2 linked regions of the Drosophila melanogaster genome follow. The protein of the gene in region 2 purifies or fractionates together with the protein of the main gene of each other region. This does not show direct contact. Each region holds a gene or a part of one and is shown on either strand. Other genes may lie near its edges.

What was found.
Region 1: the proteins of Cyp4g15 (region 2) and CG42724 purify together in Drosophila melanogaster (affinity purification with mass spectrometry, with the first as the bait; one large-scale study listed by BioGRID). This does not show direct contact.

What each region holds. Positions count from the first base shown.
Region 1 is NT_033777.3:6,362,255-6,370,220, reverse strand, and holds the start of CG42724 (uncharacterized protein), read left to right. Parts: upstream 1-1,932; 5' UTR 1,933-2,135; coding exon 2,136-2,323; intron 2,324-2,389; coding exon 2,390-3,873; intron 3,874-3,933; coding exon 3,934-4,267; coding exon of another isoform or gene 4,268-4,271; exon of another isoform or gene 4,272-4,962; intron 4,963-5,066; coding exon 5,067-5,217; coding exon of another isoform or gene 5,218-5,346; exon of another isoform or gene 5,347-5,495; coding exon of another isoform or gene 5,496-5,630; exon of another isoform or gene 5,631-6,990; coding exon 6,991-7,383; intron 7,384-7,457; coding exon 7,458-7,822; intron 7,823-7,886; coding exon 7,887-7,966. Other genes in the region: CG10286 (uncharacterized protein), read right to left, coding at 1-1,204.
Region 2 is NC_004354.4:11,475,498-11,483,057, reverse strand, and holds the start of Cyp4g15 (cytochrome P450 4g15), read right to left. Parts: upstream 6,001-7,560; 5' UTR 5,466-6,000; coding exon 5,267-5,465; intron 4,675-5,266; coding exon 4,477-4,674; intron 4,045-4,476; coding exon 3,862-4,044; intron 1,534-3,861; coding exon 845-1,533; intron 749-844; coding exon 457-748; intron 361-456; coding exon 197-360; 3' UTR 1-196. Other genes in the region: CG43155 (uncharacterized protein), read right to left, coding at 6,984-7,139, 7,201-7,293, 7,356-7,471, 7,527-7,560. UniProt on the Drosophila melanogaster protein: Probably involved in steroid hormones biosynthesis.

The DNA of each region.
Region 1 (7,966 bases), on a different chromosome or scaffold from region 2:
CAGGTTGCAGTGGTTGAGCCTTTTGCCATAGTTTCTCGATCACTTTGTTTTGTTTGATAGTCTCCAAGAAGTTGGCGGGCAGTCCCCCCGATCCACTGTCAGCTGTCTCGTCCTCCATGTCGTAATCGGCCACGCTCTCAGACTCTGAATGCTCGCTATCTGTATCCCAGTTGCTCTGTTCATCGCTGGAGCCCAGGTTGGTTATAATCTCCGCTACCAGGCGCTGGGCATCTAGCAAGTGCTCGAGGTTCTTGAGTGCTACCTCGGCATCGCATTGGTTAGGTTTCGACTGATTGGCACTCTGTGTTTCCGTCATATCCTCTGTCTCCATGGAGATTTCCAGCACGGGGGCCTCGTTCTTCGACTTTGCATTTAGAATTTCGCTTTTGCAGCTTTGCAGCTGGGCCTGTGGATCTATGGAGAGTAGTTTGTCCAGACTGTTCAGGATTTCCCGAGTGTGGGCGGCCGCGCATGCGGGTACATTGCATAGGATACCAGCAGCTAAGGCGTTCAGGTAAAGCTGCGCGTGACTTTCTGTGGGAGCCACAAGAAGCTCAGGTAGTATTGTACTGCTGGCCAGGACGTTCCACGAGCTGGAGTTGTTCTCAGACACCACCAATACGAGTTGGGCCACTGAAATGGCAACTTCGAGTCCGAACTTTCTGTAGTCGAAGCCCAGCAGCAGGCTGGAAAGAAAGTTGGCCTGATTTAGTGCTTCTGTGGCGGTGGGCGAGCTCTCGCACAGATTTCGGAGCAGATGGATTGCTTGCTGGAAGGTGTCCGCATGCAGCTCGTTTTCGAATCCACCTTTTGTCAGATCATAGCTACGGACCAGAGTCAGCAGGGCGGTCAGTATGTCGTTCTCAACGAGGAAGTCGCACACCTCCGTGCCAAACACCGACAAATTCCGAAAGGCACCGGCCGCCGCATTCCGGATGGCGCTCTCCTTATCGCACAGCAGGGGGGCCGCAATCCGGACCAACTCGCTGTCGCGTATTTCGGGAACCTTCTCCTTTCGCAGCGCCAGCACGGCGAATGAGTGCAGTCCGTTCAGCTTCTCCTCCACGTTCGCCTGCTGCAGGTGAACGCAAATCGCCTCGATGGGTCCGCAGCCCTCCGCTTCGCCCGCTGATTCCACATCGATTTCCGCCGAGGTGTCCACGCCGGATGGCGTCCGTGTTTTTACTTTTCGAACTTTTCCCATTGCAACAAAACACAACTGCACGTGTTTACTAATGGGGCTGGAACAAAAGGCGGCGGCTTTTTGTGCTATCGATGTTTCCAGATAGTTGGCAGCATCGAACATTTGCCTACCCTTATCGATTTCATTTTATGCATTTCGCATTCAGTGATCACTGGTCACGTTAAGGAGCACAGGTATTCCATAAAAAACTTTTACAATAGCTACATGGATGTATTGTCTTTTATTTCCACCTCATAATTTAAAAAATATGTGGCACAAAACAGTATATGAGTCTTTTGCTGCACGTTGTCTTAAGAAATTTCCAATTTATTTATATAAATATTTATTTCTTACAAATTTATTTCTTTATATTCCTATACATATATGTATCTCTTCTTTTGTTGGAAAAATAAACGTGTATGATAATAACAAATTTTTTTTTCTGCTGACCGTTTAATTATTTGGTAGTTGAATCGTTGAGTTAAGCGATTCCTCTAGATGGTAACAAAATAGCGTGAGAGTGCTCCCAGGTCTAAAAAGAGTGGCATAATAGGCGAGTGACGATTAGATGCGCAAGGGAGAGAGAAGTTATTAGCAACGAGTGTTCTCGTTAACAGATTAGAGATAGTACCGAAACACTTCGATTTGAACTCTTGCCCCGATCGGGTCATGCTGAGCTAATTATAAAGCAGACTTTGAAAATACGATCAGATATATTCATATTTATTGCTAAGCAAAATGTAACTCTTTGTAAACGTGATAAAATAACGTCCCTTAGTAGCGGACTGGCAACGACATTCATGTGCTGCCACATAGCCTTTCTTATTCGATAATTCGATAAGTCGAGTAAACTGGATTGTATTCACATCTCTAGCGGCAGAAAAGTGTAGAAAATTTTCAGGGGTTTTTAAAACGAAAAGTAAGAGGTTGCGTACAGTTAGATTTGTGTGCCATGGATGCGAGCTTAGAGGAGAGCATGGATAGCGATGGCGCCAGTTCGCCGATTACCAAGACGGAGGCAACGGAATCTCCGCCAGAAGCGGGTCTCAATGGAAACGGCAGTGGTAGTGGTAGTACCAGCCAGGAGACCCCAAATTATGGCGTTGCTATACTCAAGGAAAAACCCAGCGAGGCCCATAGGTGCGTTGTCATGGAAAATCCGGTGTTTTAATGCTATAAAGTTGTTTTACCTTGACCCAATTACAGGAGCAAGCCCTTCAATGCGTTTAGTGGTCGTCCCATCGGGGAGCACACCGCCCAGCAGCAGGCGCTGCAGCAACAACAACTGCAGCAACAACAACAGCCACAGCAGCCGCAGCAACAAGCTCCTTCCGGAGCAAATGGAGTCACAGGACCCCCGGAAATCTGGGTGGAAACCAAGGCGGAGGACGGTCGCTCATATTATTACCATGCGGTAACTAGGGAAACCACTTGGTCTCGACCCGATGGCCCCGCTGTCAAGATAATGACCCAGGCAGAGGTGGAGGAGATGGCCAAGCGACCTGCCCAGGCCGCGAAAACGGAAGCCAAGGCAGGCGAGACGTCGGTCGAGATTCCGCCAGTGTCGTCACATCTTACCTCACAACCTCCGCCGCACCTGATGAGCCAGCCACCACCCAATGCGGCAGCACCGCTGCTTTCCCAGCCACCACCCAATGTACGGCAACAGCCACCACCAATGTTCCAGCCACCTGGAATGCAGGCGCCTCCTGGGTTCGGACAGCCGCCGTTTTGTATGCCACCTCCAACTTACGGATTTCCTGGAGGACCGGCACCAGCTGGGGCACCTTGGGGCGTGGGCATTCCGCCTTGGCAGCAACAGCAGCACATGCAAGACAAGCCAGCCAAGTCGCTAATCATTAAGCCGGGTGTTATCGATCCGGCGGTTATAGCGCGAGCAGCAGAGTGGTCAGAGCATCGTGCTCCCGATGGAAGACCGTACTATTTCCACGCCGGTCGAGGAGAGAGTGTCTGGGAGAAACCGCAGGCGCTGAGGGACATGGAGGCCGCTCGCATGGCTGCCCACTCGGGCGTTGCGCCCGCTGTGGCAACAGCTCCGTCGGGACTACCACCACACTTGCTACCCAACCCTATGATGCATATGCCACCAGGATCAGGGCCGCCGGGATTTGATCCGCATGCTGCTTTTGCGGCTGCTGCTGCAGCAATGAAAGCCAATTCGGAAAACACTAAGGCTGCACAGGCAGCTGCTTTGGAGAAAGAGGCTAAAAAGGCGGCGGAGGAGAAGCGAAAAAAGGAGGAGGAGCAGAAGAAGGCTGCGGCATCAGCCAAGCAAACGGACAAGAGTCGACCTGTGACAAGTACGCCCATCGCTGGAACGCCATGGTGTGTCGTATGGACTGGAGATTCCCGCGTCTTCTTTTACAATCCGTCAACTAGGACTTCGGTTTGGGATCGCCCCGAGGACTTGTTGAATCGTGAGGACGTTGACAAAGCGGTAAACGAACGTCCGGAGCAACTGAAGACTCCGCAAGAGAAGTCGGCTGAAGCCGAACAGAAGTCCGGCGAGGAAGCAAATCAAGAGCAGGCTAAATCGCAAGTTCAAGCCCAGCAACTGGATCAGGTGCAGAGGGTGGATGCGGATGATGATGACGACGACGAGGTTATCAAGATACGCACAGAGTCTGAGTCTAGTGTGGAAGAGGTGCCAACCAAACGAGTTCGAATGAGTAAGTTACGGGCGGTTGTGATCATATAAAGGATACCTGTCACACCTTTCGTATCATTAGTTTCCAAGTCGAAGCGGGCAGAGGATGCCGCCCTAGAGGCTGAGCAGCGGGCGGCCAAGGAGCGGGCCTTAGTACCACTAGAAATGCGCGTCACCCAATTCAAGGAAATGCTTCGAGAGAAGGACGTATCGGCTTTCAGCACTTGGGAGAAGGAGCTTCACAAGATCGTGTTCGACCCGCGGTATCTTCTGCTGACTTCGAAGGAACGCAAACAGGTATTTGAAAAGTATGTGAAGGATCGGGCCGAGGAGGAGCGTAAGGAGAAGCGGAACAAGATGCGCCAGAAGCGGGAGGACTTCCGCAGCCTAATGGAAGAAGCCAGGCTGCACGGAAAGTGAGTATTGCCGGCTATCATTTATGGTTATTAGGTTTTACGTAAGAGTGCCGAAAGGGTATACTAGATTCGTTGAATAGTATGTAACAGTAGAAGTAACCGTTTCCGACCCTATAAGGTATATTTATTCTTGAACAGGATCACTAAACGAGCTGCCCTTGACTTCGCCGCCGTTGGGATGTGAAGAGGTTTTCTTTGGCTTCCTTTTTCCTGGCTTATTACGTCTGGTGTTTCGCATAGGGGGCCCTAACCGACCTTGTAGGAGCTAAAGGTTTAATTTTGCTTTCCAAGTTGCTACTCATTAAGGTTGTCGACCAACCGGGAGTTTCGTGGTGGCTGTGGTTTGGTACCCATATCGCCTGTAATGTCGATCTTTGATTTACGGCGTAACGGGTGCGTAAAACTAGGGTGCTGTGACCTATAGATCAGCAGCAAGCGGTAAACCGGGTTGTTTACTTAGTGCACGGCAATATCTTCTTGTCCGGTAATCCCTTCGAGGTGGAACACAAATTCGGAGGGATCCGAGTCCCATTTTAGAGACGTAAACGCATCGCAAGTATGTTCTAGAAGATGTAGAAGATTTAGAAGATCCAACGCCCGGAAACCTCAAGAAGAAGTGACCCCACCACTTTTAAAAAATGCTTTGATTTTTTTATTTCTAAAATAGTGAAATATAATTTTCCCACTAGATGAGTAACGAGATGATGTTTTATTACTGGGTAGGATTGTAATCCTATATTTATTCGTATATTGTTCATGAAACGTTCTCGTTGATATTTTGAATTCCAAACTCTTTCAGATCCTCATTCTCGGAGTTTAGCCAGAGGAACGCCAAGGATGAACGGTATCGGGCCATCGAGAAGGTTCGCGAACGAGAGAGTCTCTTCAACGAGTACATCGTGGAGGTGCGGCGCCGCGAAAAGGAGGACAAGCTGTTGAAGAAAGAGCAGGTAGGCCTAGGGTATGCTGGAGCCCCTTACCCCATCACCTTACGTATCTTGATGTTTAAACATAAATGCATATCTTTATATATATATTTAATAACTTACCCGTATGCCAAACGTATTTACATAATGTGATTGATTTTCTGTTAACTCTTAAACCATAAACAACGTGTGAATCGAAACCGAAACAAACCAAACTGAAAATGAAACCGAATCCGAACCCTGACCGAATGCATTATCCCTCAATGTGTTGGGTTCCGGTGGTTTGCCACCCGATACCTTAGCCACTAGCTAGCAGGTTACAGCACAAATGCACCACCCAAAACACCAAAATACACAAGAGCAACAGCATCGAGAACCACCTGTACAACACTCTCGACGGTCTATTCCGCCCGCCGTCTGCCATCGCCGTCCACTGATCTACTTGACCACGCACATGTTTGCAATCTGTGTGGTGAGTTACTTGAAACATAACAAGCAAAAACATTTAAATTTGTTTTTCTGCAATAAGAGACAAATTTGGAAAAAAAAAAAACAATTATAAAACCAATATAAACAAAACTATCGAAAGGTTGCCAAACTGAAAATTACCTGATAATCGTTGGTGTGATTTCCACTTCCCGAACTACGCCCCACGTCGCCCCTCTCGGATGTTTTATGCGATGTGATGTGATGAAGAGGATGTTGCGATGATGTGATTGGCATTGGGATCATGATTGATGATGTTTGAAGTTCGCGATGGGCTCTCGGAGGGATGTCGCCGAGCAGGAAGCAGGCAGAAAGGGATTGTTCCAGAGATCCGGAGCGACTGCAGTTCGTGTGCAGGTGTCTGCGGCGCTAAGCAAACAGTATGAATAATACTTAATTTAATTAACCCACTATTTTCGTTTTGTTTACAAATAATGTACACACTCAGCAGTTTGTCACCTGACCGAGGCAAGCCGAAGGAACCGAACTCAGCCCCATCCCCACCTGCACAGACCAAAGACGAACGATATTCTAAAGCTATCTAAAGCCAAAATATCCAGATCTTTGCTCTGGCAGGTCTAGGCAGCGGCCCAAGTCGCTGGAAGGCTCTCTGCCCCATATTCTTACCATTTACCATATTTTTACTGTAGATCTATTGACTATTGTACCCTTCGGCCGTGCTGAAGTCTGAACATCAAGGCCTGCTTTTGTATAGAGAAATTAATGGGTTAGGTGGTCCGTTCGTTATAATTTTTGCTTTCTCCTCTGCATCTATAAAAAATGTTTGTAGCAAAAGATAACATAACAAATATTCGATCTGGCCGTGTCCGTCGACGAGATCTCTGAAACTAAAAAAGCTGGAAATTTGATATTAGTTTTGGATGATTTTTGTCGATGCCAAAACATGAAATTCGTAAAACTTGTACCCGTAATCCACTCAGATAGGTTAGGGATATCTGATAATGGAGGAAATCGACTTGATTTAAGATGTCCAAATTTGTTTTCTGTGTGTCGCTTGAGACAGACCCAAATTCTCTACGCCAGCAGGACTTGAATTAATCCAACGTTCTTTTCCAGTTAAGTCTGAAATCGCTAACCAAACCCGCTCTCTTTCAGGCACAAATCGTGTAACTATGTTCTATAGCTTAAGAAAAATAAGTCTAAGTCTTAAGTTAGGCAATTAAGCATAGAGTTTTAAGTGAAGCCGCAACAATTCGAGACCCCTCTAATTCGATCTGTTTGTCGCATTTCTCTTCTCTTCCGCATGGCTGTCATGTCAATATTACTTTCACAAACACTTTAAAACTCTAGATCCGCAAGGACTTTCTGGATATGCTGCGAGAGCGTCACGACATCGAGCGCCACACCAGGTGGTACGACATCAAAAAGAAGTTTGAGTCGGATCCACGCTACCGTATGGTGGACTCCATGTACCGGGAGGAGTACTTCGAGGATTACCTGCACATTATGAAGGAGGAGAAGCGAAAGGAGCGGGAGATGCGTGAGCAACGGGAACGGGAGCGACATCGCGAACTTAAATCTGATCGGAAGGAGAAGGACAAGGAAAAGGACAAGGGTCGGAAGGATCGAGGACGCAGCCGTTCGAAAGACAAGGACCGCGAGCACAAGTCATCCAAAGAAAAGGATAAAGACAAGGAGGAAAAAAGCAAGTCGGAGAAAAGCAAGAAACGAGATACCACCCCAGTGAGTCTATAATCGTTTTAAGCGTTTTAGATCGGTATTCTAATCAGCATATTTTAATTTTTTGCCTTTCATAGGAGGAGGGTGAACATCGTGAAGAGTCAGAAAGGGAAGAACGAGCCGGCAGCGACGACAGCGAGGTGGCTCGCCAACGGGAGAACGAGGCTGAGCAAAAGCAGAAGGAACGCGAGAAGAAGCTAAGGGTAGAGCAGAGTATAAGGGAACGAGAGAAGGAGGTGCAGCGAACCCTGGCCGGTCATTTGAGGGATCGGGACAAGGAGCGCGAGCATCACATGCGCGAGGAGTGCATTGGTCACTTTACCGCTTTGCTGACAGATCTGGTGCGAACGCCGGACTTCACGTGGAAGGAGGTCAAGCGACAATTGCGGAAGGATCATCGCTGGGAACTAATAGAAAGCCTTGATCGCGAGGATCGCGAGCGGTAAGGCATTAACATTGTTAAAAATTCTATTTATTTATATTCAATAAATTTAATATCGTTGCAGAAAATTCAACGAGCACATTGACAATCTGATGAAGAAGAAGAGGGAGCGATTCCGCGAAATGCTCGACGAGATTAGCACTC
Region 2 (7,560 bases):
TCAATATTACTGTATAAACCGGTGACTATCACTTGCCAACAAGTGGAGTTATATGTATGGATAAGTGTCCGTTCTGTGTAGCTTATTGTTTGCGGTGTACGGTGTATGGTGTGCTGCCCGCCTGTTCCGCCTGCCCCACCCGCTCCACCTGGTCCACCTGGTTCGCCTAGCTGATGTTCGTCGCGGCCACCGGGGTTCAACTGGTCCGCGGCTGGAGGCGCACGCGGAATCCCTCCTCACGCTTTAGGATGATGTCCGCCTGCAGTTTGAAGTCCGATTCGGTCAGGTCCGAGTAGACACGGTAGTTCCGCAAAATGGTCGACAGTAGGATCTTCAGCTTGAGCATCGCATACTTGCGCCCTAAAAAAATAATTATAATAAATGAAACAAAACATTATTCATATAGACGATCCGAATATTCACATAATTTGCTTCAGTGTTATATCTGCAACTCACCCACACAGCTGCGTGGTCCCGCAGAGAACGGCACAAAGGCGTAGTAGTGGCGATTGGCCTGGCGCTCCGGCAGGAAGTTGTCCGGATCGAAGACGTTGGGATTGGCGTAGACCTTCGGATTGCGATGGAGCAGGACGGTGGCCACCGTCACCGTGGCGCCCCTGGGAATCACGTAGTTGCCCGAGTTCAGCTTGAGATCCTCCTGCAGCTCGCGGGCGATCAATGGAACGGGTGGGTACATGCGCAGCGTCTCCATCAGACACCGCTCCAGATACTTCATCTCCAGTGTGTCCTGCAATCGGAATGCGGACATTTTAAGCGGTTAACGTTCAACATTCAAGAATATAACTAACTAACTATGGTGATGTGTGCGGCATTAGTTACCCACCTGAAATGTGGCCGGTCGCTGGGAGTCGCCAAAAATGGAGTCGAGTTCGGCCAGTACGCGATCCTGGATGTCCTGGTGGATGCCCATCAGCGAGAGAAAGAACGAGGAGCCGGCTGCCGTGGTGTCGTGTCCCTCGAACATGATCGTGTCCACCTGCTCCTTAATTTCCGTGTCCGTAATGAGTGCTCCATTCTGTGCACTTTCGAGCATCAAATCAAGGAAGGCCAGCCGCTTCTTCTCACCAATATCATTGTCCTCCACATCCAGGTCATCCTTGAGACCAGCCGACTGTCCATAGGACAGTCCCGCCACCGGACTGGCCTTCTCCTTATCCTTCTCCCGATCCTTCTCATCGCTGCCAGCTGTTGATGGGGTCTGGTCAACACCACCATTCTGTTCCCGTTCCCGCTCTAAGGCGGCTGCCTTCAGCTCGCACTGGGCAAGGGATCCACGGGTGCCCTGCTCAAAGGCCGCCTTCTTGCTGCGGATCACCTTGGTGGTCAGGCCGTGGATGATGTTCAGCAGGCGACCCTGCTCCTTGTAGTAGCGCGTCAGGGTGAACACGAACTCGTTGCGCAGAAAGATGCTCCGATGGCGGGCGTGAAGGATGTCGCACATCCGCATCACGGCCATCGCATACTCGAATCCCGATTTGTCCTGCGTTTTCTTCGACACACCCATCGCAGTCTCTGGAATTGCCAAAATGTAGCACCCAGAAAGGTGTGTATTTATACAAGTAGGTTTAGATTGTGATTATATTAAATAATAACTAAAAGGAAGTATAAGTATAACCTCAATATCCCATCACATTCGAATCGTACTTTTCCTTTCAGTGCAGAGACTCGTATCTGGATTTGAAGAGCAGATTGCGATCGAGATCGGATGCGAGGAGATCGGATAGAATGAGATGAGTTGGCAAGGGATGGCATGTGGATGTAGATGGGATGGACCCCCAGCACAAATGGGGGGAAGTGGAATGCACTCGCCTGACCCAAGCGCCAATTGAACTTAACAAACAGACAACAGGCGGCGGAGGTAGCCCCCGGATTCCCCGCCAGCTCACCATCCATCCACCGCCTGTCTAATTGTAGATACAATGCATAAATAGATCTATAGATGACAGCATAAACGAGCTTACGGACAAATCCGCTTCGTGTGTACAATCATGTGTGTTTTTGTGCTGTGGGAAAACTGCGAGCGTGGAATTTGGCATTTTTTTTTTTTTTTTTTTTTTTGATAAGTTCTCGATTGCCAATCACAGTGAATCACGGTCTATAACTGGAATTAAACTAAAGGAAAGTGACAGTGCAATCTGAAAACGATTTGAAAGATTCAAGTTGCAAATGAGATAGGTCAGTAAATTTGAATAGGTTCGTGTAAATAGCATATCTAAAAATTAAACTGCTAAATTTGAGTTTTGCTCGTGCGGAAAAGGAATACGAAAATCTGGCTTATGCAATGACACATTTGAGTTTTTCCTGTGGAAACTCGCCCGGATTTTCATTCGCATTTCGCTTGGCATTTGGGTTCGTTTCGTTGAGTTCTTAATTGCTAATTGCCCGTTTGCGTCAGACCCAGACCCCATACCCCAGACTAATAATCGCCGTGAACAACAACCTCAGTCGTTGCATTCAAATTTTCCTTATTAAATGCTTAATGGCAGTGCGACGTGGCTTTAATTGCACTACTGACTGCGAATCCCGCATTCGTTGCGTTGCATTTTCATTCGCTGCATTTCGGTTCGGTTTGGTTCGGTTCGGTTCGCCTCGGTTCCATCACATCACATTACATCGTATCCAATCCAATCCAATCCAATCCAAGGCAATTGAATTCTGCAATCTTGGCTGCATTTCAATTGTGCAGGGCTCGGATTATTATGCAATGGCCTACAAATCAATCCCAAATCGGCCGAGCACTACGAGCTCCACAATGTCATTAACATTGGCCACCAGCCAATTTTGTCTAGGCTCTTGCCGGTTTCACTTTTCACTCCAGGCCCAAAACGTGTCTGGCTTTAAGCGAATTGCCATCTGGGTGCCATTGGTATGATGATAAACAAGACCATTTGGGTGGGCCAAAACCTATAGGTATTACCTTAACCTGCATCTAGAAATATGAGGTTGTTTATTGCTGATAGAACTTGGATCTTTCAGATATCTCGGTGTAATATTCCCATTAAACTGAAACTGAAACTATTGTTAAGCTTCTATAAAGCTTAAATATGGAGGACATACAATATTTGTATATGCCATATGTTTTTGCTATAACTTTCAAATTCCCAAATAAATTTGTCCTACTTTGAGCTACAATAGTTATGTTTTGAATATGCTGTAAATTTACTCTATATAAGATATCGATTATCTTTTTAACTGATCTTCGATTGTTTGTTTTAACTTAGTAAGAACCCCTACTTATGGAATTTTCATAACCAAGCAACATGATCGTTTGGGGTACAAATCCAACCAGTTTGCATCAGTTTGGCATAATTCGGTTAAATCTGGGGGCTGGGATTTGAAATATATATATACATATATATATCTATATATATATATATCTTTATATGCAAAAGCACATGTATGTATATGCTCATTTGCTCCCATTGTGGGGCCACAACAAAAGCGGCAAATTTTTGATTTGCCAGTATATAGGGAAATGGGTCTGCACTCAATTGTGTGTGGCATACAATATAATGTGTCCATATCCACGGCGTTTCTAGCGGGGATTAGGTGGCTTGGGCGCACGCATATAACTGAAATGATGATGATGATGCTGGATTGTATGCTCATGGTATGCTATAGTATCGTATCGTACTGCGTGGTATGATGGTATGTCATGGAATGGTATGGGTATTTCGGATGATCGTTGCGATTGCGAGTGCGTGTGGGTTGACTGTACTTTAGTGTAATCATAGTATGGCTATCTCTATCCCCATATCCGTATATCGCACCTATCTGTATCTGTATATCTGTATATGAATGTATCTGTACATCCATCTATCTGTATATCTGTTCACTTACCCAATAGAATCTCCACGGTTGCCTCGCTCATGTAATCATGGCAATCAAAAGTGCGACCATCCTCCGCACGCAGTTTCCTCACCACATTACGCGAGTTCTCGTTGAACAACTCGATGAAGCTCTTCAAGACATTCAGATGGAATGTGGGTGCAATCAGTTTGCGGTGCGATCGCCATTTTTGACCTGCAACAATAGATGGAGCGGGAATGTAGAACCGATCGTACATACAAGATATTCTTACAAAAAAAAAAAAACCAAAAAAAAATTGGACATTACATTACAAATTTGTTCATGATTATCACTCAAGCTAATAAATAATAGTACTTTTTTCTTACATGTCTGTCTAAATTGAAAATCATCATGTGTAATATTATTTATCATATTATCATTTTGAACTTATTACATTTGAAATTGGTATATCTTCAGTGCAAACGACTGTGCATTTTTTTTCCGTGACTTTTCTGCGACGTTGATTTTATTTATAGCGGCATTGTTGTGCCAACTGTCAGGCTAGCGGATCGCTTAATTAATTTATGATTTCGCAAATTGCATTAGTGGCAAGTGGACACCACCCCTTAAATGTGGGAGGCTTTCCCCCTCAAAACCCCACCTCACCTGTGCTGATCAGCAGTCCGTCGCCCAGCCAGGGCTTGAAGAACTTGTACTCGGATGCCTTGTCGATGTAGACATGGCTGCTCAGCAGCAACTCCACGTCCCGCGGATCGTAGATGAAGACCACCAGCTTGGGCCCGATCCACATCTTGGCTATGTGCTCGAAAGGGGCGCTTTTGCGGATGACTGTTCGGAAAACAGCTGCGGGGATACACGGATTAATTTGGGGGATCAATTCAAAACCACGATTAATTTTTGAAAAGGATAATTAGTGCTCTAGTATGTGTTATATTTTAAAAGTCAGAAATAAGTTCTTTCTTAAAATAAAAAGGAGAAGAATTTTCATTTCACTATTATTCGGAAACTTTATTCCAAGTGACTAAAAACTAATAATCAATGTTTAAAATTTTGGAAAATGCATGATAATTACTTTTAAATCAGAATTAAAGTTTCGTTTGAAGTAGAACTTCAAATAAATGTGTGTACTTTCAGAAGTGTTTTAAAAAGATTTCAAACGAGTATTATATTTTAAGTTTCAAAAATGCTTTTCTTTAAGTTTAAAGTTTGTTCCAAATTGATTTCTCAATAGCAGCAGGATTTCTTTTGAAATGTATTGAAAATTAAATATTTTTATGTGATTTGAATTCAATTCGGAGTTTGCCTGATAATCCGTATTTAAAACTGGTTATCCTCGTTTTTTTTTTTTCACTGGCTGCTTAACCCTTATGCCTGCTAAGGGGCTATGTCGCACCCTTTCCCGCGAAAAAAATGGCACTTAGTCTAGTGGATTTACATGAAGCGGGTCCAATCACATCGAACAGATGACCCACGATGGGCAGTCCCCGTGGTCCCGGCAGTCGTCCGGCCAACCTGTACAGGTGAGCCCGCGATAATCGCCAGTAGATGTACCAAAGCACCAGCGTGGGCAGCAGCAGGAAGTAGAAGACGCTGCTGGGTGAGCCCAGGGCGGCGTCCTTCTTCAGCACCTCCATTGCTTGTCGGGATCCTCTTTCTCTTGCTCTCTCTCTCACACACTCTCCCCCTCTCTCTCACTCTCTCTCTCTCTCTCTCTGTTTCGATCGGTCAACAATGTTCACCAGGTCACAGAAAAAACACCAAAACAAAAAAGAAAACCAATCGATCGGCGCACGCACACTTCCCACACAGTACACACGGATCGATCAGCTATCCATGGGCTGGGTTGGATTGGGTTTTGCGGATCGGATCGGATCGGATCGGATAGGATCGTATCGGATCGGTGGACCGGATGTTACTCGCTGCTCGGCCAGCGCACAACTAAACGGTGACAGCCCCTCGCCGAGGCAACCAGCGCGAAATGATCGCGTATATCAACCCACACACAGGGGATGCGATGCGATGGAATGGGATGGGAACGGAGCGATGCGAAGAGGATCGGACCGGATCGGATGGCGGAGTTACGGACTCGGAATCGGCTGGATATGTGTATAAATTAGATACGTTGGACCCGCACTCGCACTCCTCGCGCCTCTTTTCCAGCGACTAGACAGCGGCGACGGTGCGAACGACTTTTATAGCCAACAATGTGCAGCATATGTGCACTGCGAACAAAAATTGTGCACTCAGCTCGCAAGCAAATGCGACGGCTTGTTAAAAGTTGCGCAATTACTAACTTAAATATTTAACAAAAATATTCTAGAATCCTTTTGTTGTTCAATTCATATGCATATATTTCCATGTGGCATACCCTTCGAATTTTTCATGATCTGAGCACGAATGGTGGCAACTTTTCTCACAGTGCTCGAGTAAATAACTGCGGTATGGAATTGGGGTGGTTCTCTGTAGAATTGGATCATGTGAATCGGAACTCAGGTCTTCTCTAAGCTCATCCCGGTGAAAGTTCCATTCGTCACGAGAATTGAGCTTCAAAACCGAGTGACGAAATTAGCCAAAGCTTTTGAGCAGAAAAACGAATGATCAAAGTGAAAAATCATTTCGATATGTATCTCTTGGGTTAAAAACGCTTGCAGATTGTTGAAGTCTTTTTCTTGGTTTATTTTTAAGATGACATTTATGCATGGTATGGACAAGAGTTACGATTAAGATTACGAATAACCTAAGCTACCTCATACGGTTAGAATTACTCAAAAAAAAAAAGATTTTCTATTACTATAGATATTAAATCACCTGCCGTGCTTTGCATGTGTGTGTGTCTGTGTGTGTGTGTGTGTGTGTGTGTGTGTAAGAGTGACCTCAGTACGTATGAGCAATATTATTGCCTAGACATTTGACTATATAATAGCTATAAGTACGGACACTAACTTATGGAAGTCTGGCAGTGCTACAGTAGCCAGTGTCCACTGTAACATGTGGTTTACGATCGGCAGCCTAACTACAATTGATATTTCGCTTGATATATGTATATATATATTTTTTTTTTGCTTTTCTGCCTGCTCGCCCAAAACTATGCAGCACTTTTTTCATCGATGGAAGCTCAATCTCGCTGTCTGGTTTCTATCCCTCCTTTCCGTCTAAACGGACGACTCGTATATGACGATCTGCAGGACCTTCGGCTTGTTGTTCTGCGCCTCCTTCACCTCCTTCAAAATGGCATTCGTGATGGCTTCCAGGGCCGCAATATCGGGACTGTGCTCATTCTTCTTACTATTCCATTTGGGCATGGACACCTGGTGGTAAACCTTCATTTAGTATCGTATGTTTGTGTTTATTTTGTGAGAATCATCATACCGTAAGCACCTTCTGCAGGGCTGTATAATCGAGGCCCGTGCCGGCTGTTTCGCCCAAGCGACGCAGAGTCTCCGCCATGGGACCAGATAGCTCCTGGAAAATAGTTAAATTTGGTAAATAATACAATAAAAATAGTGTATACTTGTAGAACCCACCTGCAGCTTGGCCCAACTGGTGGCATATTGCCTTCGCACCAGCTCAATGATGGTCGATGTCAGGGCCAGGCCAATAAGAATATACAATGTGCACAGTAGCATGTAGTTGGGTTTCTCTGAAGAGTATGGCAAAATGAAGTAAATACACACTTGGGTGCTCCAACAACCTACTTGGCACCAAATCACCGAATCCGATGGTTGTCAT